Drosophila melanogaster: one gene and its partners. The protein of the gene in region 1 interacts with the protein of each later gene in a pairwise test. Each region holds a gene or a part of one and is shown in the gene's direction. Other genes may lie near its edges.

Region 1 (5,225 bases):
CACACGATTTACTGCGACCTTATCAGCCAAAGCTCAGCTTGAGCTTGTTATTGTCTTCGACAATAATGGGATTTTTTCCGTTCCCTGATAACAGAGGAAAGCTGAAACTGAAATCATTCCCTACCTAAATTTGTTTATTATATTTTGCCAAAAATTCTAGGGAGAAGTCAATAGAATGAGTCAATAGAATCGAATAACACCCTTTATATACCTTCAAAGGCAGATTTATGTTATAATAATAAATAATAATAATAATAATAAATAATAGATAATTCCTACACGTTTAATGTGTCAAATGTTTAATAAGTAACTTAAGTGGAAGTACAATTTATTTCTCAACTATTTCCCACGCCAAAGATATACATATTTATTTTTCCTTTAGGTACATGTGTTACATTTTTCAGACTGCTCAACCTTGGTTGTGATAAAATGACCGGCAAATAGAAGGCCATGGGTGTTGTCCTTTATAGCATAGAAGAAAGGTCTATTAGCGTGGAATACCTTTGGAGGTCCTTGGCGCGCAGGCATGCTTCTAAATGTGGCAACCGCAGCTGAACAAGAAGTTTAAATTAGTTAATGCGAATATATACATATTTGAGTGAAATTTTTAATATTGGACTTGCTTAGCACCTCGTATGACATTCGTAAGAATATCCGGAGTACTAGATATAAGAGGCTTTCAAATTGCCAAAAGTTTTGGAACCTTTTTTTTTTGCAGGCTCACCCGTTGCGGCTGCAGCTTCAGTGCCCACTTCGTTAATCTCGATAAATGCTTTGTGGACGATCTGGGAGACAAAAAGGCTTTCCTCGGATTGTAGCATTCCCCCAAGCTCTGCCTGACCACTGAATATTCGGTTCATGCCCATCTGTGAGTAGCCAGGTTGCGTATAATCAAATTTCAATAACAAATCCATTTCAGCTAACCAGCATTAAAACCTGGGATAGTTCTTGCTGGAACTCGGCTGTAAAGCTAGGAATCTTCACATCCACTTTTTCCAGATTCATTGCTGATGACACTACCTCTAGGGAAATATCACTAAGTTTCTTTTCGAGGCTCGTGAGATTCGACTTCTCATCAGGAAGTAAAATGATCATGGCCAAATTACAGGCACTATAATTCATTCTAAGGGCAGTGGCTTCGAACATGGGAAGTACGGCAAAAAAGAAGTTCTCGCACACATGCATCATTCTCACTCTGGTAGGTCTATCCGATCCGAAGAAATCCTCTTCGCGGGTTTCTTTTTCATTGAAACTGATTGACCACTCACCCTTGAAGTGAATACCGTTTACTAGGCACAGCCGCGAGTCCTTGGTAAGAACTCTTGGACCGATTATGTCCTTGATCAGGTTGTTGGTCTGTGACTCCACCCATTTGTTGATTATGCTGGCAGCCTGCTCGCTGCCAAAGTCAATCTCCATTGGCTTGGAGCGAAACTTCTGCTCTAGTATGTGACCAAACTGCTCGTCAACTTGGAGACCCTTCATAACATATAGGCCGTTTGCCATTTTAAGAACCTGGCACTGTTCATAGGACTTGAGGACGACACCAAAGCTTTCAGCTACTTGCTGAGCTTCTAGCCCACCGAAACGGAGCCCCTCGTCCATCTCCTTAGCTGTAGCCGATCCCTCGGATGTTCCCATCCGCAGCATGGCCGCAGAGATGTGGATGGATAATGGGGAGTAGATGATGTTTAGGCCAGCACTTGCCCGGCACAAATGGTCGTGCAGACAAAGAGCGAATTGTTCCAAGCCCTGTGCGAACTCCTCATCTTTCATGATGAAGAAAGCAGACGATCTCAGGTTAAATATGTTAAATATGCGTCTACGATAGAAGAATCAGTGAGTACTCATTTTTCGAAAGAGATTCAGATTGACTTATCAGCAGTTTGAGCAAATATTTTAATAAGAAGCTAGATGAGCTATCAACACCATTCCAATTTCGGGTACGCCAGGAACTTCTCTCCGTCGAGAGCGCTTGCCACTTCAGACTCTCTTGGAATTTATCTAATCGAGTTGCAGTTCGTTCAGTTCTGACTTACTGCGATTCGCGGCGTTAGTCAATTCCGCGCAGTTTGACGGAAACCACGCTCATTCTCCGGCTGCCTTCCGATTGTATCCGTGAGATTGTTTTTTCCGGTGTAAGTTATCAGCGCACCCATAGGGTCAGCGACGCCCTCACCTGTTTCGCCGATCCAAAATAGCTTATCAGTGCACGTAGAGAAATTTATTGTTTCATGTCCACATTGATCGATGATTTGTAAATTAAAGAAATTCCGAAACTTACTTAGTAGGCTAAGTTACGGTAATCTAAATATGCAGTAATCCCCTCTATGCAGTAGAGGGTATTGTTAAATTTTAAATATCTGAAAACATCAACAACCTTATCAGGTGACGTGTGTTATTTTATCTTTGAATTACTATCGCGTCGTTTGCTATAAGGCAATTTGTTATGACGAAAGCAAGTTCTAGTTGACTTCACTTTACTTTCTACATCGGTTCTATTAAAAATATAATAGGGAATTATTATTATTATTTTAAAATAAATAGTAGCACCTAGTAGCAGTTGTAAGCTAATACGTCATTCTGGGATTTCGGATTTATTTTTAATTAGCATAGGCAATTTTGAAAATGTTTTATTTTATTAAAGATTGAATCCGAATTCGAAATTGTTCTGGATTGATCAAGTTGGCGCTTAACAGCTGGCGATAATGCCAAATGAGATAATGAGATTTGGCCCGAAAATGTCTTATTTTTGTATACTTATGTTACATTTAAGTATTTAAAAATATAAATTAAAACATATATTTTTTTGCCCAGATCGAGATGAGCGAACCCCAAGAAGGCAGAAATCAGTTTGCGCGAAATCTGATAGATGTCATTACCAAAGATGCCCTGCAACAGAGCAAAGACCCCCACATAAATACGGTTTTCTCTCCAGCATCCGTCCAAAGTGCATTGACCTTGGCATTTATGGGGGCTTCCGGATCTACAGCAGAGGAGCTAAGGAATGGGCTTCAGCTAGGACCAGGAGATCGCCATCACATAGCCCTAAACTTCGGAGAGTTCTGGCGCACGAGCTGTAACTACGGCGACAGGGGACCCGTGTTGAAGTCCGTGAACCGATTGTACGTCAACGATTCCTTGGAACTGCTTACCGAGTTCAACGAGATCGCCGTGGACTTCTTCCAGTCGAAGGCCGAGGCGACGAGGTTCGCCGATTCGGAGGGAGCTACGCAGCTGATCAACGACTGGGTGGAACAGGAGACGGAGCATAAGATCACCAACCTGCTTCAATCGGATGCCGTGAACAACGAAACGAGCGCCCTGCTCATCAATGTCTTGTACTTTAAGGGAAAGTGGCAGAAACCATTTATGCCAGAGACCACATCGATTGACCATTTCCACGTGGACCGGGACACTCACGTGCAGGTGAATATGATGTACCAAGAGGACAAGTTCCGGTTCGCAGAACTGCCACAGCTGAAGGCTCGAGCTGTGCAACTGCCCTATGATTACTCAAACATTCACATGCTAATTCTGCTGCCCAACGAAGTAAACGGTCTGCAGGAGTTAGAGCAGCAACTCAACACCGTGGATCTAGCCGATATTGACGCAGCGCTGACCTTGCAGGATGTCGAGATCTTTCTGCCCAGGATGTGCATAGAGTACGACGTGGACCTCAAGCAGGTACTTAATCAGGTAAGATACATTTAACCGATAATAGTGGCTTTGTTTTAATAACAATGTAATATCTGATATTTATTCTCAGCTGGGTATTACGGAAGTCTTCAGCGATAAGGCCAAGCTAGACGGGCTCTTTACCTCGCAAAGTGGCCAAAAAATCTCGGCAGCAAGGCACCGCGGCTACATCGACGTAAATGAGGCAGGATCGGAGGCAGCAGCAGTCAGTTGTAAGTGAAATCAGCTGCTTGCAACTCAAACTTGCTCGTACTAATCTCAACTCTGATTCCCACACTCAGTCATGAAGATAGTACCCATGATGCTCAACATGAACAAGAAGCTCTTCAAGGCGGATCACCCGTTCGTCTTTTACATACGAAACCCGCAGGCCGTCTTCTTCGCCGGCCGATTCTCGAACCCCAAGTCTGGATCTGGATCAGGAGAGGAGGGCTTGTCACGGGAAGGTTTCGATGCCAACATGTACAATGTCTAAGAACAGCAGTGAGACCGAATAGAACTCAGCTATGAAATCCCACTAGACGTCATTGGATTTCAATCCGAGAGAGCTGTGTGCGCAGTTCTCAGTAACGTAATGAAGTATCGCCAGTAGGTACATATATGTCCAGTGCATATATGAGCTCGTCTTGGCACTCGGCGCTCAGTTTACAGAGATACTTATCTCGGGGAAGAGTTCGTTGTAGACGGTCAAATGTATTACTTGTGTAAGTGGCGATCGCTTATAGCCAGTGAATTAAAATACAAAGCAATAAATTACCTATAATAACTTATGATTTAAATTAAATTCATAGAAAATAATAAAACAATATGGTGAAGACGTTTGCTATGGCATTAACTTTTAACTTACAAAGACTATCCGCTTTCGTTGAATTCGATTTGCTTTAGTCTGTAAAAGTAAAAAATATCAAGTTTAATATGCATGAACAGAATTTCCGAACGCTGAAAACGAATTGATAATTAACATCCCCAAACTAGGCATTTTCCTGTGGGTCACTTCAGTGGCATGTCAGACCTCCAAAGAGATCTACCAACTACTTTCCAAGAGCCATACAAACCAGAACCTCGTCGTCTCGCCCGTCTCCATAGAGACCATCCTTAGCATGGTCTTCATGGGCGCAGAAGGCTCGACGGCCAAGGAGCTGCAGAGCGCCTTAGGTTTACCATCGGAGGACAAAGAGGCGGTGGCAGCCAGGTACGGTGCTCTCCTCAACGATCTTCAGGGACAGGAGGAGGGACCCATACTAAAGCTCGCGAATCGCATCTACGTCAACGACCAGTACAGCCTGAATCAGAACTACAACCTCGCTGTGAGGGAACCCTTCAAGTCCGAGGCGGAGTCCATTAGTCTGACCAATGGCCCTGTGGCGGCCGAGAGAATCAACCAGTGGGTGCTGGATCAGACCAGTGGTAAAATCAAGGGCATGATCGATCCCGGCAGCATGACGTCCGACGTGAAGGCCTTGCTGGTGAACGCCATCTACTTTAAGGGCCAGTGGGAGTCGAAGTTTGACCCAGCTAAGACCAGA
Region 2 (8,268 bases), on another chromosome or scaffold:
CTATAAAAGAGTTGTAGATCTTAACTATAACTTCAACTGTTTCTGCTTTGTTATTGTTGGGGGTTTCGTTCGCTTATAGCCATTATAGACAGTATTTGAAGATTTGACTCACAAATTATGGCCAGCAGTTGTGGCTGAATTGATTAGCTGGCATTTGGCTGTGGCTAGCGGTCTTTTAGCCCCTCGATAAGGTCAAGTTCATTTCCGCATGGTGAGGCAGTAGTTAGTGAGCTACGTTCTCTGATCTCCGAAAAGCGACTACCCCAAAGTAACTGTTTCGGAGTTTCAGGCGGATTTCATGGATAGGGAAAGGGAAATTGCCCAAGAGGTCAGCCAAAGTGGCCATAAACAATTAGCCATTAGACGGGCCTTATGTGACGCACTTGGCAATCGCGGCAATTAGAGTTGTTACCAATCTCTCCGCGGGTCACTCAACACAAAATGTATCTCGAGCCTCGATTTTATCTGCCAGCGTGTGAACTGCCGGAAATTTCACTCTTGTGGATGGATGCATTTAATTCTTTCCGAACCTGATTTTTGACCAAGTTAATTGGGAGGGAATAAAAGGCGTACTTTGTACTTTGTCCGACTATAACTTGGCTTGGCTGAATTCAAAGACCCAAACAAGCAGTCGCTTCTAGAGTAAACAAATTTATGAATGACATAAAAAAGCGGATAAAAGCAGAAAATTATCTCGCTCTTGAAACTCCGAAATTAAACGTTAGTCCAATGATTTACTGCTTCACTTATAAGCGTGTTAATTGCCTAAATTTCCTTCACTGCTGAACTTGATTACTTGTTCTTTGGCGGCGGTCCACTCAATTGCCATAATATCAATCTCGCAGCCAGACTTCAAGTGTCAAGTGCAGTGTCTGGCTGCAATTAACCCTCTACTACCCCATGGTACCTCGCCTAAGGTCACATAAACCTTAAATTCAATTCCTATTTAATCGAGTGCAATTTAATATTTCCACAATTTTTGGTTCTAAGTACCAAGTATTTCAGCAAGGTCTCAGTGGGTTAATCTCCGTCAAAGAACCGAAATGCACGGCAGGCGTTGCAATCCACGGTCAACACGACAGGTTTCAGGTTTCCTTCTAAGCCCCTGAACAGCCAAATCGTTGGTTTTGACACAGATATAGCCATGTTATGGCCGTATTGGCCGGATCGGCGCTTGCATTTGGCATTTCGTTGGGCAAACACCACCAGATGACCTCGACTTTCAATCGCTGTGAGAATGTGTCTGGCATTCTTTGCGAATGTATCTTCAGACGATTCTCACACAGATCTTGATACGCACCTCGGAATCGAGAATTACACGCCGATAGGCATCGCGAGAAAAATCTACTAGCCGGCCATTACGAGTGAGATGCATTTTCCCCAACATTTATGCCTGCGAGCTTTACATCTGGGCAGGCTCACATCAATTAACCCGCAATTACAATAGAATTTAATCATGTGCCTGCCAGTTCACGTCGCACAGTTGGCCAAGTTGGCCAAAGGGGGGTTAAGCGATGGGGCTGGGCAAAAAGGGGCGTATTAATAACCGCGCTAAGTTCAAGAACATCGCTGATGGTTATTGTCATAGTTTCGTCGCGGCAATATGTAATTAAATCTGCGGATTGCAATCGATTATAAATACATTGTGAGGCATTTGCGGGTGGCGAAGGCTTTGTTTGTTGATTGAGTGAGTGATTTAATAAATTGTTCCGACTTTAGGAGCAATAATTTTCTTCTACGATAATTGAAGTTATAATTTGAAGGACAACGTATTCAAGTACTCCATGTACTTAACACCCTATAGAAAGGTGGCCCAAATCTAATAGTTTCATATCGGTTACTTAATTGTTTATTATACCATTTTAAGTTTAATGATTTGCTGACCCCATTTTATGATAGCTTCCTCGGAGGTTTTTATGGCTTTTTGAAAGGCAAAAACAGATCTCTGTTATTAACAGAGTGCGGTTCGAGTCCATGCTCCCCCCTGATTGCTAAGTATACACTGGGTTGGTTTTATGCTAAAAGCATTATCCAAGTCTTGCTCCATAAGTATCGTTAAATAAATTTAACAATAATTCAATCGCTGACTGGTCGCACTATTATATCGCTACGGTATATATTTGACGAAACAGACGGCGGCCACACTACAGACAAATAAAAAATTGAACCAATCGTTGCAATTGCACTTCAGTTTTCGTTCAGAAATAAATACGTAGCTGCAAATAGAGGACTATCTCCGCCGACATTTAAGAAGTACAGTTAAAACCGGGAAAATGGAGAGAGCAGGCCTCTTGGCCGTTTTGGCACTGTGCTGCGCCTTTGGTGAGTGGAGAAGAGATGGAGAGAAGTGCGAAAAGCGACGTTGAAAGGGAACCACAATAATAGTTTAGTCATAGCTTATTGCGTATTCGTGCTGTGCACTCTGTTCCTCAACCGTTGCTCTCTTTGTTTGTTTGCTTTCTTGCAGGCGTCTTCGCCGCTGCCACGCCCCTTTTGGGCTCCAGCAAGTGCACCTGGGGACCCTCCTACTGGTGCGGAAATTTCAGGTGAGTGCAAAAAAGTGGGTGATACAATAAACGGTATATTCGGATAAATCGCTTGGTCATCGAACACCACAAAGTTCTCGAAGGCGAAAAGCTAACCTCTCTTAACCCCCCTCCAAATAGCGATATTACTTCTCCGCCTCACTTGCCCATTGTTTGCAGCGAAGACTCGTCTGTTCTGTTTTGTTCTCGGCCGATAAGACTATCACTCGAATCGGGAATCGAATCACTTTGCTCTACATAGCTCTATTCGCCGATAACCCCTGTTATTGCAAACTTAACACTAGTGCCGCTCTAATTGCGTCCCCTTATTTTGCGTTGTATTGTTTTACAGACTCGATGTTTTCTCTGAGTGCACTTTTCGCAATACTCTCTGCCTTCATATCCCATATTTCTGGATTTCCTTTGTCTGCACATTCGCTGTACAAATCAAATTAACAGTACCGCCAGTCGGAACATTTAGACGGCAGAGTTAAGCGCTCGTAGGGGGCACAACTTTATCGACACCGATTATATGCATGAGTAATCCAGAGGAGCAGATCGTTTTGACACAGCTCCCTTTTCTGTGCACCGCCAAACAAACCACATGATTGCTTTGTTTATCATTGTTAATTCGCTGTAGGCGGCAACAGTTGTTCCTTATCAACGAATTCTGACTAATCCCTCAGGCGTATGATGAGTACAGGGGAACATCCGAAAGTGCAACTTCTAAGCCTTAACACAATCACAATGCACTTGAAACCCTTATCTTAGCCATACTCACAATTGTAAATTCCTCAATGGAGTGATATTACATTGCGGCCACAAAGGATCACCTTACAGAAGCTATACTGTACGTACATATGTATGTATGTTACACCAAGATAAACTTGAAAACATTTACATGGACTGCATCATTAATAGAGTAAAAGCGATCAATAGGCAACTGAAAACATTTGTTAAGCACCCATCCATCGCTTATCGCTAGTCGTAATTCCTTTGTTTATTGATTGATTTATTTTTAAATGGCCAGGAAAATCCGCCATTTCTGGCTCTTAACCGTTTCTTTGTTTCTCAATTGCAGAGTGTCAAAAATTAAAAACGTCGCCATTGCTGTTGAAAATTCAGAAAACAATATCTGTGAATGCGCAGCCAAGTGAATAATATATACGTGGATACGTCCAGATATATCATTCATACATATGTACTGTTTATTTCCGTGCTTATCAGTGCTGATTTTTTGCTATTTAGACGCTTTTGTTTGGTATTCCTGGCGATTCCACCGCAGGCGTCTCTTCATGTTAATGGAAATTAGCACTTTCCGTTCGAATCAGTCAAATCGATTTATATTGAACAAATATAGGGTTACTTTCCATCAAAGTGTTGTGCTTTAAATGCTATTTGCTTATATGAGATGATATGGGCTTTGATTTAGTCAGCATAAGTTTGATGATTATTAAACCATTTCGTTCCGTCTCGGATGTTCAAAAATCAAAATTATTACCAGTCCAATGCTTCGTTGTATTCATTGAAGACCCAACATTATCATGTGAGCTGTGGGTGCATTCTTAAAGTGGATAGGGGACTACTCCCTTTTTAGTGGACTCTGGTCTTTGCTGACTCGTCGATTCTGGCTTGGCCACTCGATTACGAATGCGGGTCATTTGATCCGAACAGCGGCATTTCGCACAATCAGCTTAGTATCCGACTGCTTACTCTGATGGGTTTATCTTAACAGCAAAAAAAAAGTTTGCTAACTTTATGTCTGCTTCCTTTCCAGCAACTCCAAGGAATGTCGTGCCACCCGCCACTGCATCCAAACCGTTTGGGAAACCCAAAAGGTGCCGGTGGACACGGACTCCATCTGCACGATATGCAAGGACATGGTTACTCAGGCCCGCGACCAGCTGAAGAGCAACCAGACAGAGGAGGAGCTGAAGGAGGTCTTCGAGGGCTCCTGCAAGCTGATTCCGATCAAGCCGATCCAGAAGGAGTGCATCAAGGTGGCCGATGACTTCCTGCCCGAGTTGGTCGAGGCCCTGGCCTCGCAGATGAATCCAGATGTGAGTTTTCACCTCTACAACACATCCTCCTAAACCTTTTATTGATATATAAAATGTTTCCCTTCAATCCTCAGCAAGTTTGCTCTGTGGCCGGACTTTGCAACAGTGCTCGCATCGACGAATTGTATAAGAACGGCATTCAGGCTGGTCTTGATGGAACCGTCCAGAATGAAGATGACAGCTCCGAGGAGACCGAGTTGGCCATGCAGCCTAACCAACTTTCCTGCGGCAACTGCAACCTGCTTTCCCGCCTGATGCACTCGAAATTTGCGGCTACCGATCGCGATGACATGGTGGAAACGATGCTTCATATGTGCGGATCGCTATCTAGTTTCTCAGACGCCTGTGCCAACATTGTGCTCACCTATTTTAATGATATCTACGACCATGTGAGCAAGCACTTGACCACGGATGCCGTGTGCCATGTGTCCGGAGTGTGTGCCTCCAGATATCACCAGCATGAAGAGGAAAAGCAACCGCAAGAAGCCTTAGTTGCCTTGGATGCCGGCGATGATATTCCATGCGAACTATGCGAGCAACTAGTAAAGCACCTTCGCGACGTCTTGGTGGCCAACACCACTGAAACGGAGTTCAAGCAAGTTATGGAAGGATTCTGCAAGCAGTCAAAGGGATTCAAGGACGAGTGCCTTAGCATTGTTGACCAATACTACCATGTGATTTACGAGACTCTGGTCAGCAAGTTAGATGCCAATGGAGCCTGCTGCATGATCGGCATTTGCCAGAAGAACTCCGCCTCCTCGATGAAGGATGTCCCAATCATGCCGCTGCTGCCTGTTATTGAGCCGGCTCAGGTAAAGATCACCATCGAGAAGCTGGAGAAGCACGAGAAGAAGCAACTGGGCGCCAGTGAGCCGAAGTTCAGCCAGCAAGAGATCCTGGACATGCAGCTGCCCATTGATCACCTAATGGGTGCAGCTAATCCCGGAGCTTTGGTCGAGGGTGGAGAGCTGTGCACCCTGTGTGAGTACATGCTGCATTTCATTCAGGAGACTCTGGCTACCCCCTCCACGGATGACGAGATCAAGCACACCGTGGAGAACATCTGCGCCAAACTGCCCTCGGGAGTTGCCGGTCAATGCCGCAACTTCGTGGAGATGTATGGCGATGCTGTGATAGCTCTGCTCGTCCAAGGACTGAATCCTCGTGACGTGTGCCCCCTCATGCAGATGTGCCCGAAGAATCTGCCCAAGAAGGAAGATGTCGAAGTGTTCAATCCCCAGCCAGCCAGCGATGAGCAGGATCCCCCAACTTGCCCTCTGTGCCTCTTTGCCGTTGAGCAGGCCCAGATGAAGATCCGCGACAACAAGTCCAAGGATAATATCAAAAAGGTTCTGAATGGCCTTTGCAGCCATCTGCCCAACGAGATAAAGGAAGAATGCGTAGACTTCGTGAACACCTATTCCAATGAGCTGATCGACATGCTGATCACAGATTTTAAGCCGCAGGAGATCTGCGTCCAACTGAAGCTCTGCCCAAAGACCACTTACGCTCTCTGGGACTTGCGCATCTCGCTGGAGGACGATGTCGATGGTGAGGACAAATCCAGCAGTGAGGAAATCAGCTTCAATGACATTGAGTCCCTTGAGGAGCTGCCCCCTCAGCTGGCCTTCGACCCAGGATTCACCGCTGCTCCGAACTGCCTGATCTGCGAGGAGTTGGTTAAGACCTTGGAGAAGCGTATGGGCAAGCACCCCACCAGAGACAGCATCAAGCATATCCTGGAGGAGTCTTGCGACCGAATGAGGAAGCCAATGAACACTAAATGCCACAAGGTTATCGACAAGTACGGCGATAAGATCGCCGATCTGCTGTTAAAGGAAATGGATCCCAAGCTTATCTGCACGGAGTTGGGAATGTGCATCCTGGCTGATCTGGATGATCGTGAGTATTAAATTCTAGAGCTACGTTAAGTATACGTTTAAACTAATGAATTTCATTTTCGTAATACAGTCGAAGTGGATGAGGCTTTGAAGTACGACGTGATTGCTCTGCCGCGCCAGGACAACAAGCTGTCTAGCAGCATCAAGGAGCCGCCCACCTGCGTCCTTTGCGAATTTATCATGACCAAGTTGGATGCCGATCTAAAGAATAAGACCGAACAGGACGACATTAAGCGAGCGATTGAAGCCGTGTGCAATCGCCTGCCAGCCACGGTGCGCAAACAGTGCGACACCTTCGTCGATGGATATGCCTCTGCGGTCCTGAAATTGCTGAGCGATGTGCCGCCCAAGCAGGTGTGCCAGAAACTGCAGCTCTGCTTCAGCGTGGCCGTCACCGATGAAGTTTTGGAGTGTGGTGTGTGCCATGGAGTCACCCAGGCTCTGTTGCCCTTCCTGCGCGAGAAGAAAGATAACGTATCCGAAGTGACAGCCCTACAGATGACATCGGTGGGATGCGAGAACTTGCCAGCCAAGTACTACAAGATCGTATGTAACTTACAATCCTGAATGTTATAAATATCTATAAGTTCCTTTGCGTTGCAGTGCTCTGAGATGATCTCCATCTATGGCAGTAGCATTAAGAACTTGGCCAAACGACCCTATATTGATCAGTCGCATATTTGCGCCGAGATTGGCAAGTGTTTCGAAAGCGAGAAGTCTTCGCTGGCCTTTGCTAGAATTTCAGGTAAGCTATAGGTTGAAGGACCCAAACAATACATTTACTAATTTACTATCTTCAACAGCCTAAGTGATGCGTTGTGATGTACGAACCAGGCGCGGAGGATTTGAAGGAGAAGGGACCCGATCCCACGCTTTATATATGCATATACCTTTACATATATCTGTTTACATTCTATAACGATTTACTGTAAATGAAACATAATTACTTACTTTTCGTTTTGTACCCCGGTTTTTGGCTCTAAATTTGTTAGGTGAATTTGTGATGAAACTGAATTTATAAACGCACTCAAACGCCGGCTGAAAAAAGTTAAACTTAACTAAACTAACACTTACACTAAGCAGTACCCTTATCGTAATTTCAACATAAAAATTAGCGAAATTCACGAGCCGCAAACTTTGTATCGATATCCCCATGTGTCCGAAGTCATTTGAGCAGTGTGTGTAGTTTAAGATATCAAGCAAAACTGTGTAAAATACGAACATTGATCTTATAAATCATACAGAAAACTTAAACCGACATAGTAGCACATTATTGAAAATTCCCAATTCCCCTTGGAATAGTATATATTTTCTAGCCGACATGTTTGAGAACTCCCTGTTTATCATTAAGCCGGACTATCTGCACAAGCGGCGTCCGGTGCTCTTAAAGTTGCTGGCCGAGGGCTTCCAGATTCAGGGTAATCGACGGATTGCCTTTTCGCCAGAAACTGCCGCCGAGTTCTATGCCGATTATGCCGATGAAAAGGGGTTTATGCTGGAGGTCATTCTGCTTTCGAAGGGTGTTTCCGAGGCGTTCATAGTTACGAAGGAAAACGCCGTGCAGGAGCTGCTCAACATCATGATTTGTTATTTGTGAGTTTGCTTTTAAAATAAAATAATAAGTTCTCTAGGTACAATTTGACTTTAAGTGGTTCGGCATCGGATCTGGAACGCAATATCCATGTCACCAAGAACAGTTACAGCGTGGCTCGTGAGATAAACTTTATTTTTCCCAACTGTAAGTAGCGATACAGAGATTAATAAAGTAAAAAATAATATATC
Region 3 (5,879 bases), about 15 Mb from region 1:
GGCACCTATGCCCAAACGGAACTGGGTCATGGAACCTACCTGCGCGGGCTGGAAACGCGTGCTGATTTTGATCGAAAGACTGATCAATTTGTACTCAACACCCCCAATATTTCCTCCTACAAGTGGTGGCCCGGAGGCTGTAAGTTCTGGCATGGTGATCCAATCGGTTTTCAGATATTAAAGTTTAACTATAAATTTTCAGTGGGCCACAGCTCCAATCACTGCCTGGTTATGGCTCAGCTGTACATCGACGGCGACTGCAAGGGTCCGCACATGTTCTTTATTCAGGTGCGTGATGAAGACACCCACGAACCACTGCCCGGCGTCCACATCGGTGATATTGGCAAGAAAATGGGCTTCATTGGCGTAAACAATGGTTTCCTTGGATTAAAGAACGTACGGATTCCTCGTACGAGAATGCTGATGCGACATGCTCAGGTGAAGGCTGATGGATCCTATGTTAGTAGTCCCACCAATGTGCTTACCTACTTTGCCATGGTCCGCACGCGTTGTGTAATTGCCAAAAACAATGCCGTGATGTTGGCTTCTGCTGCCACCATTGCAACCAGATACTCGGCTGTGCGCCGTCAGAGCCCAATTAATCCCAAGTAAGTTGTTAACAACGTAGATACATTTATTCGAATTCAATTGTCCCTTGTTTATTTTCAGCGAACGAGAGCCTCAGATCATGGATCATGTTACACAACAAATGAAACTCTTCCCAGAGATTGCCACAAGCGTGGCATACCGAAAGGCCGGTGATTACTTGTGGAATCTGTACGATGTGACCATCGAGGATATAGAAAACGGAAAATACGAACGTCTGCCGGAGTTGCATTCTCTGTCCTGCGCTTTGAAAGTTACCTGCTCCATGGACTCCGCTTCTGGTGTAGAGAAATTGCGACTGGCCTGTGGTGGTCATGGATTCCTCACCTCATCCAACATGAGCAGTATATACGTTAGTGCCACCGCAGCTTGCACGTATGAGGGTGAGAACACCGTACTGCTTCTGCAGATCGGTCGCTTTTTAATGAAGACGTGGCGAGCCGCGTTGACTGGAGCTCCGTTGCCGCCCACCGTTCGCTATTTGGCCGAGGTGCAAAAGAATCCGGAGTTTGGCACCTGGACTGGAAGTTGGGAGAACATGGTTAAGGCCATGCAGTATGCAGCTGCCAATAGAACACAGTTGGCATTCAGGAGCCTTTCCAAACGTATGTCAAGGGGCGAAACTGAAGCGAACGCAGCTAATCACACGGGCATTGAGTTCACCCAGGCGGCAGAGGTTAGTGTGCTAAAGTGACTTGGACTGTGCCCTACCGATTTCTGAAAAACTCTAAATTTTTTCTTGCCCATAGCTCCACGGACGTGCTTTTGTTTTCAGTGCTTTCTATGAAGCAGTCACCGGTCCTCAATCTAAGACGCGCTCAGCTAACTTCAATCGAGTCCTGGAGAACCTGTTGGAGCTGTACCTAGTCAAGGAGACACTTAATCAAATGGGTCACCTGCTGAGAGTGGGTTTCAATTATTTAGCCTAGAATGTGTTGAATGTTAACTTAATATATTCTTATTCCACAGTTCATTAACTTGACCGATACGGATCTCTCCGGGCTGCAGGATCGCTTGGAAACAGTGCTCACCAAACTGCGACCAGATGCTGTGGCCATTGTGGATGGCTTTGACTTCAGCGATCTGCAGCTGAACTCCACTCTGGGCTCTTACGATGGCAATGCCTACGAGCGTATCTTCGATGCGGCCCTCAAGAATCCGATGAACCAAAAAGCAGTGCCTAAGTACTTCCATGAGATCCTGAGGCCGTTCATGAAGTCAAACATCTAGTGCCTTGGACAGCTGTTTATTAAACCACCTATCTAGAGTTAGGCTCAATGTAATGTATTGTAAATACCCCATATGTATTGGTGTTTTGTATTATTTTTGTAAATAATACTCTTTAATAATATAGACCCAACATATACCGCTCTTTAAATGAATTCTTTGCCAAGCCATGAACATCTGCTGCTTTGTCGATCAGCTTTCTCTCTTGAAAAGCTGTCTTGTGCACTTTGCCCCCCCAAAAGCTTTTCATTCTCGCCGATCCATCCACTTTCGCTCAGTAGTCGCGTGGAGCTCACAGCTGTTGATTGGATCTAGTGGTGGATCATAGTTTAGTTGTTAACAATTCCGTATTTTTATTTTGCACACAACAATGTCGCATATTAAAAACCTAATACCGAGCACAGTGAATCCAGATCTTCAAAAGGAACGTGCTGCAGCTGAATTCCATGTGGAGGAATTCTCCGCCTGGTGGCACGGTGGTCAAGACAAACTGAAGAAGAAGCGCGAAATCGGTAATTGTTAAAGATAAAAATCATTAGCGTCACGCCGGTGTTCGTGATATGGCACAGGTTTTGTTCAATTAAAGCTTCTTTGCCATCAAAAAAATCGGGGTCCAAACAGTTCATCAAATGGCCCGAAGTCCAATTATTGTTATACATTGTTGAGCAGCCGAATTAAAACCTTTATTGCTTTATCAATAATAAAAGATCGTGATAGCACTTGTGATATCTACGATTCCCTGCAATTGCAAATAAGCTAATTTTCTTATCAGCTTAAAGGGCTGCTCTACACCCCCAGGTGATAACGAAGGGCACAGTCACACTTTATAAATCGAACCATTATCTTTACGACTGATTCTATCTTTTATTGCTACCACTTATTCTGTTCATAATTGAAAGTTGTATAAGAAGTGTAATTTCTAATCGACAGAGAAAGCGATCTTCAGCGATCTTGAGGATGGCTATGGCCTCAACCATGAGTACATGTCCCACGAGGAGGTCTACAATTCCACGGTGAAGAAGGTGGCTGAGGCAGCTGTTAAGCTCAAGGCTCTGCAGAACAAGCTTAATCCTGGAGGAACTGACATCTGGCCGTAAGTTAAACACGCAAGTGTGTAAAAGGTTTCTTCAATCTTATTTCCGCTCGATTTGCAGTGGAGGACTATTCAATGCACAGAGCTTTGGACTTTTTCCGGCTAATCATCCGATTGCCACCCACATCACCATGTTCGTGGATGTGATCAAAGGTCAGGGCACTGCCGAACAGGTGGAGAAGTGGGGCAAGGCGGCGGAGAACTGCAACATTATCGGCACCTACGCCCAAACGGAGCTGGCCCATGGCACCAATGTCCGTGGCTTGGCCACTCGGGCTGACTTTGATCCCAAAACGGATGAGTTTGTGCTAAATACACCGAACTTGGAGGCCTACAAATGGTGGCCCGGCGGCTGTAAGTAGTTTAATTATAGTTGTAGTCCAAATATGCATTTAATCCATCCTTATCATCTCTAGTGGGACACACGGCCAATCATGCAATGGTAGTAGCCCAACTATATATCGCCGATGTTCATCATGGCGTGCAAATGTTTATTGTGCCGTTAAGAGATTCCGAAACTCACATGCCACTGCCGGGTGTTGATATCGGTGAGATTGGCAAGAAGCTCGGCATGGCATCCGTGAACCAGGGCTTCCTGGGACTGAACCACGTTCGAATTCCGCGCACCAACATGCTGATGAAGTTCGCCAAGGTGGAGCGGGATGGCACCTTCAAGGCCAGCCCGGCATCGAGGATTAACTACCTGACCATGGTGTACACGCGCTGCTTGATCGTTAGCCAGAACTCCACGTTGCTCCTGGCGGCGGCAACCATAGCCACGAGATACTCGGCAGTGCGGCGTCAGAGTCCCATTGAGCCCAAGTAAGTTGCGATGGTGTTTGCAGGAATAAAAACTTAATGTCTATGTACCGACAGTCAACCCGAGCCCCAGATCATAGATCATGTGACCCAGCGCCTGAAGCTCTTCCCTGAGATCGCTACGGGAATCGCCTACCATCTGGCCACCGAGTACATGTGGGAAATGTATGCCCAGACGGTGCAGGAAGCCAACAACGGCAAGTTCGAGCGACTGCCCGACATGCACATCCTGTCCTGCGCGCTCAAGGTCCTTTGCACCACTGACGGCTGTGCTGGCATTGAAAAACTTCGTCTGTCCACTGGAGGACATGGTTACCTCATCGCCGCCAACTTGAGCAACATCTATGGCAATGCTGTGGCTGCGTACACCTACGAAGGCGAGAACACGGTGCTGCTTCTGCAAATTGGACGAGCTTTAGTTAAGGCATGGGCTTCGTTCGTGGACAAGAAACCATTATCGGCATCCTACAGCTACTTTGCCAGCTCCATGCAGCTGAAGGAGTTCCCCAAATGGGACGACTCCTGGCAGTGCATCATCAAGGCTTTGCAATACACGGCTGCACAGTGAGTTTGACTTAAATGCATCTTTTTAACTTAGTGCTTACATGATTAATTTGCAGCAAGACCCGCATTGCTTTCGAGAATCTAGCGAATCGCATGGCCAGCGGTCAGTCTCAAGGTGTGGCGGCCAATAACACGGGAATCGAACTGACTCGTGCAGCTGAGGTAAGTAATATAAACAAAGTTAGAGATGACCACGTAGATGACTATATTTGACAATTATGCAAACATATTTCAGCTGCATGGCCGGCAGTTTGTGTGCCAAACATTCCTGGAGCAGATCACTGGTGCCAAGGCCCAGAAGCGATCCCCCGCACTGAACAAGATATTGGAGAACGTGCTGGAACTATTTCTGGTCCAAACGGTGCTTAATAACCTTAATGACATTTTAAGAGTGAGTTTTCCTCTCATTTCCATTTACTGCATTGTTAATTATGCCATTTTGCTTGCCAGTTCATTAAACTAAGCGATGCGGATCTGCGATCGCTGCAAAAACGCTTGGAGGATTCACTGGCGCAGTTCCGACCCAATGCGGTGGCCATATGCGATGGATTCGAGTTCCACGACCGTGTGCTAAACTCCGTGCTGGGCAGCTACGATGGCAATGTGTATCCCAGGCTCTTCGATTCGGCCAAACGCAGCACCATGAACCAGAAGCCCGTCCAAACATCATTTGAGACCTACCTGAAGCCCCTGATGAAGGCTAAGCTGTAAAGCAAACACGACCGACCCGAGTCATGTGTATAGAGAGTTATATTGAAGTAGAGAAACTACATGTTTTGTTTAAATTAGTTTTATACCAGTTTTATTTAGCAAATCAAAACCAATTTCTCAGTACATTCAGCGCATTTTTAAAAAAAACTAACAAACTAAACGCTTACAAAGTAGCAAAAAAAGTTGATGTAAAATTTGACAAAACGTACTATGGGTCGAGAGTTGAACAAACATAGTACTTGTACATATCAAAAACGATGCGGTTGCGTTTTTTACAGTGTAGAAAAAGTTGTGTTCAGAAAAATGTTTTAGTTCCTGTTGCAGTTGCTGTTGCTCATGTTTTCTTGTTTGCTTGTGTGTGTGTGTGTGTGTGTGTGTGTGAGAAGTGTGTGCATGTTTTTGTGTGTAAGTTGCAGTTTTGATTCCGGAAAAGGGGGAAAATAGTTTTCACTTCTCTGATGATGTTCGAAAGTTCCCTTTGTTATATGCTCTGCTGTCAAAGTAGTAGTAGGTTTAATTCATTATTTATGCATTATACACAGTTACACACACAATTGATTTATGTTGCTAATTATATACTTATATGTTATATATTAGTTTTCGTTTTTCGTAACTTCTTTTCGCAATGAAAATATGGCATGAGAGTTGGAGAGAGAATATTGGTTGACTAACAATTAAACAAGTATTGCAGCTAATTGATTGGTATGAGGGTGTGGGTGAGTATAACATTTGTTGCTGGACTGTTTTGTTTTAGTTTAATTTGAAATCGCCTTGTAAACTTAACAATTAATTTTCACTATTGCATGTGATTATGATTTGTTGCTGTGGTTCTTGTTGTTGTTCTTCTTCTCCTTTTTGT

What was found.
Region 2: the proteins of Spn42Dc (region 1) and Sap-r interact in a two-hybrid assay, tested with the Drosophila melanogaster proteins (one large-scale study listed by BioGRID).
Region 3: the proteins of Spn42Dc (region 1) and Acox57D-d interact in a two-hybrid assay, tested with the Drosophila melanogaster proteins (one large-scale study listed by BioGRID).

The regions. Positions count from the first base shown.
Region 1 is NT_033778.4:6,878,940-6,884,164, forward strand, and holds Spn42Dc (serpin 42Dc), read left to right. Parts: upstream 1-2,055; 5' UTR 2,056-2,138; intron 2,139-2,708; exon of another isoform or gene 2,709-2,817; 5' UTR 2,818-2,823; coding exon 2,824-3,699; intron 3,700-3,769; coding exon 3,770-3,911; intron 3,912-3,980; coding exon 3,981-4,174; 3' UTR 4,175-4,390; coding exon of another isoform or gene 4,391-4,403; 3' UTR 4,404-4,468; downstream 4,469-5,225. Other genes in the region: Spn42Db (serpin 42Db), read right to left, coding at 379-551, 725-866, 925-1,776; Spn42Dd (serpin 42Dd), read left to right, coding at 4,391-4,403, 4,675-5,225.
Region 2 is NT_033777.3:30,882,939-30,891,206, reverse strand, and holds Sap-r (Saposin-related), read left to right. Parts: upstream 1-2,144; 5' UTR 2,145-2,273; coding exon 2,274-2,322; intron 2,323-2,380; exon of another isoform or gene 2,381-2,467; coding exon 2,468-2,546; intron 2,547-4,302; coding exon 4,303-4,585; intron 4,586-4,659; coding exon 4,660-6,487; intron 6,488-6,556; coding exon 6,557-7,032; intron 7,033-7,089; coding exon 7,090-7,231; intron 7,232-7,289; coding exon 7,290-7,294; 3' UTR 7,295-7,743; downstream 7,744-8,268. Other genes in the region: CG15547 (uncharacterized protein), read left to right, coding at 7,808-8,079, 8,136-8,224.
Region 3 is NT_033778.4:21,387,296-21,393,174, forward strand, and holds Acox57D-d (acyl-Coenzyme A oxidase at 57D distal), read left to right. Parts: upstream 1-2,109; 5' UTR 2,110-2,203; coding exon 2,204-2,345; intron 2,346-2,763; coding exon 2,764-2,926; intron 2,927-2,987; coding exon 2,988-3,280; intron 3,281-3,342; coding exon 3,343-3,748; intron 3,749-3,802; coding exon 3,803-4,309; intron 4,310-4,365; coding exon 4,366-4,471; intron 4,472-4,544; coding exon 4,545-4,700; intron 4,701-4,759; coding exon 4,760-5,020; 3' UTR 5,021-5,144; downstream 5,145-5,879. Other genes in the region: Acox57D-p (acyl-Coenzyme A oxidase at 57D proximal), read left to right, coding at 1-139, 203-608, 670-1,282, 1,356-1,511, 1,576-1,836.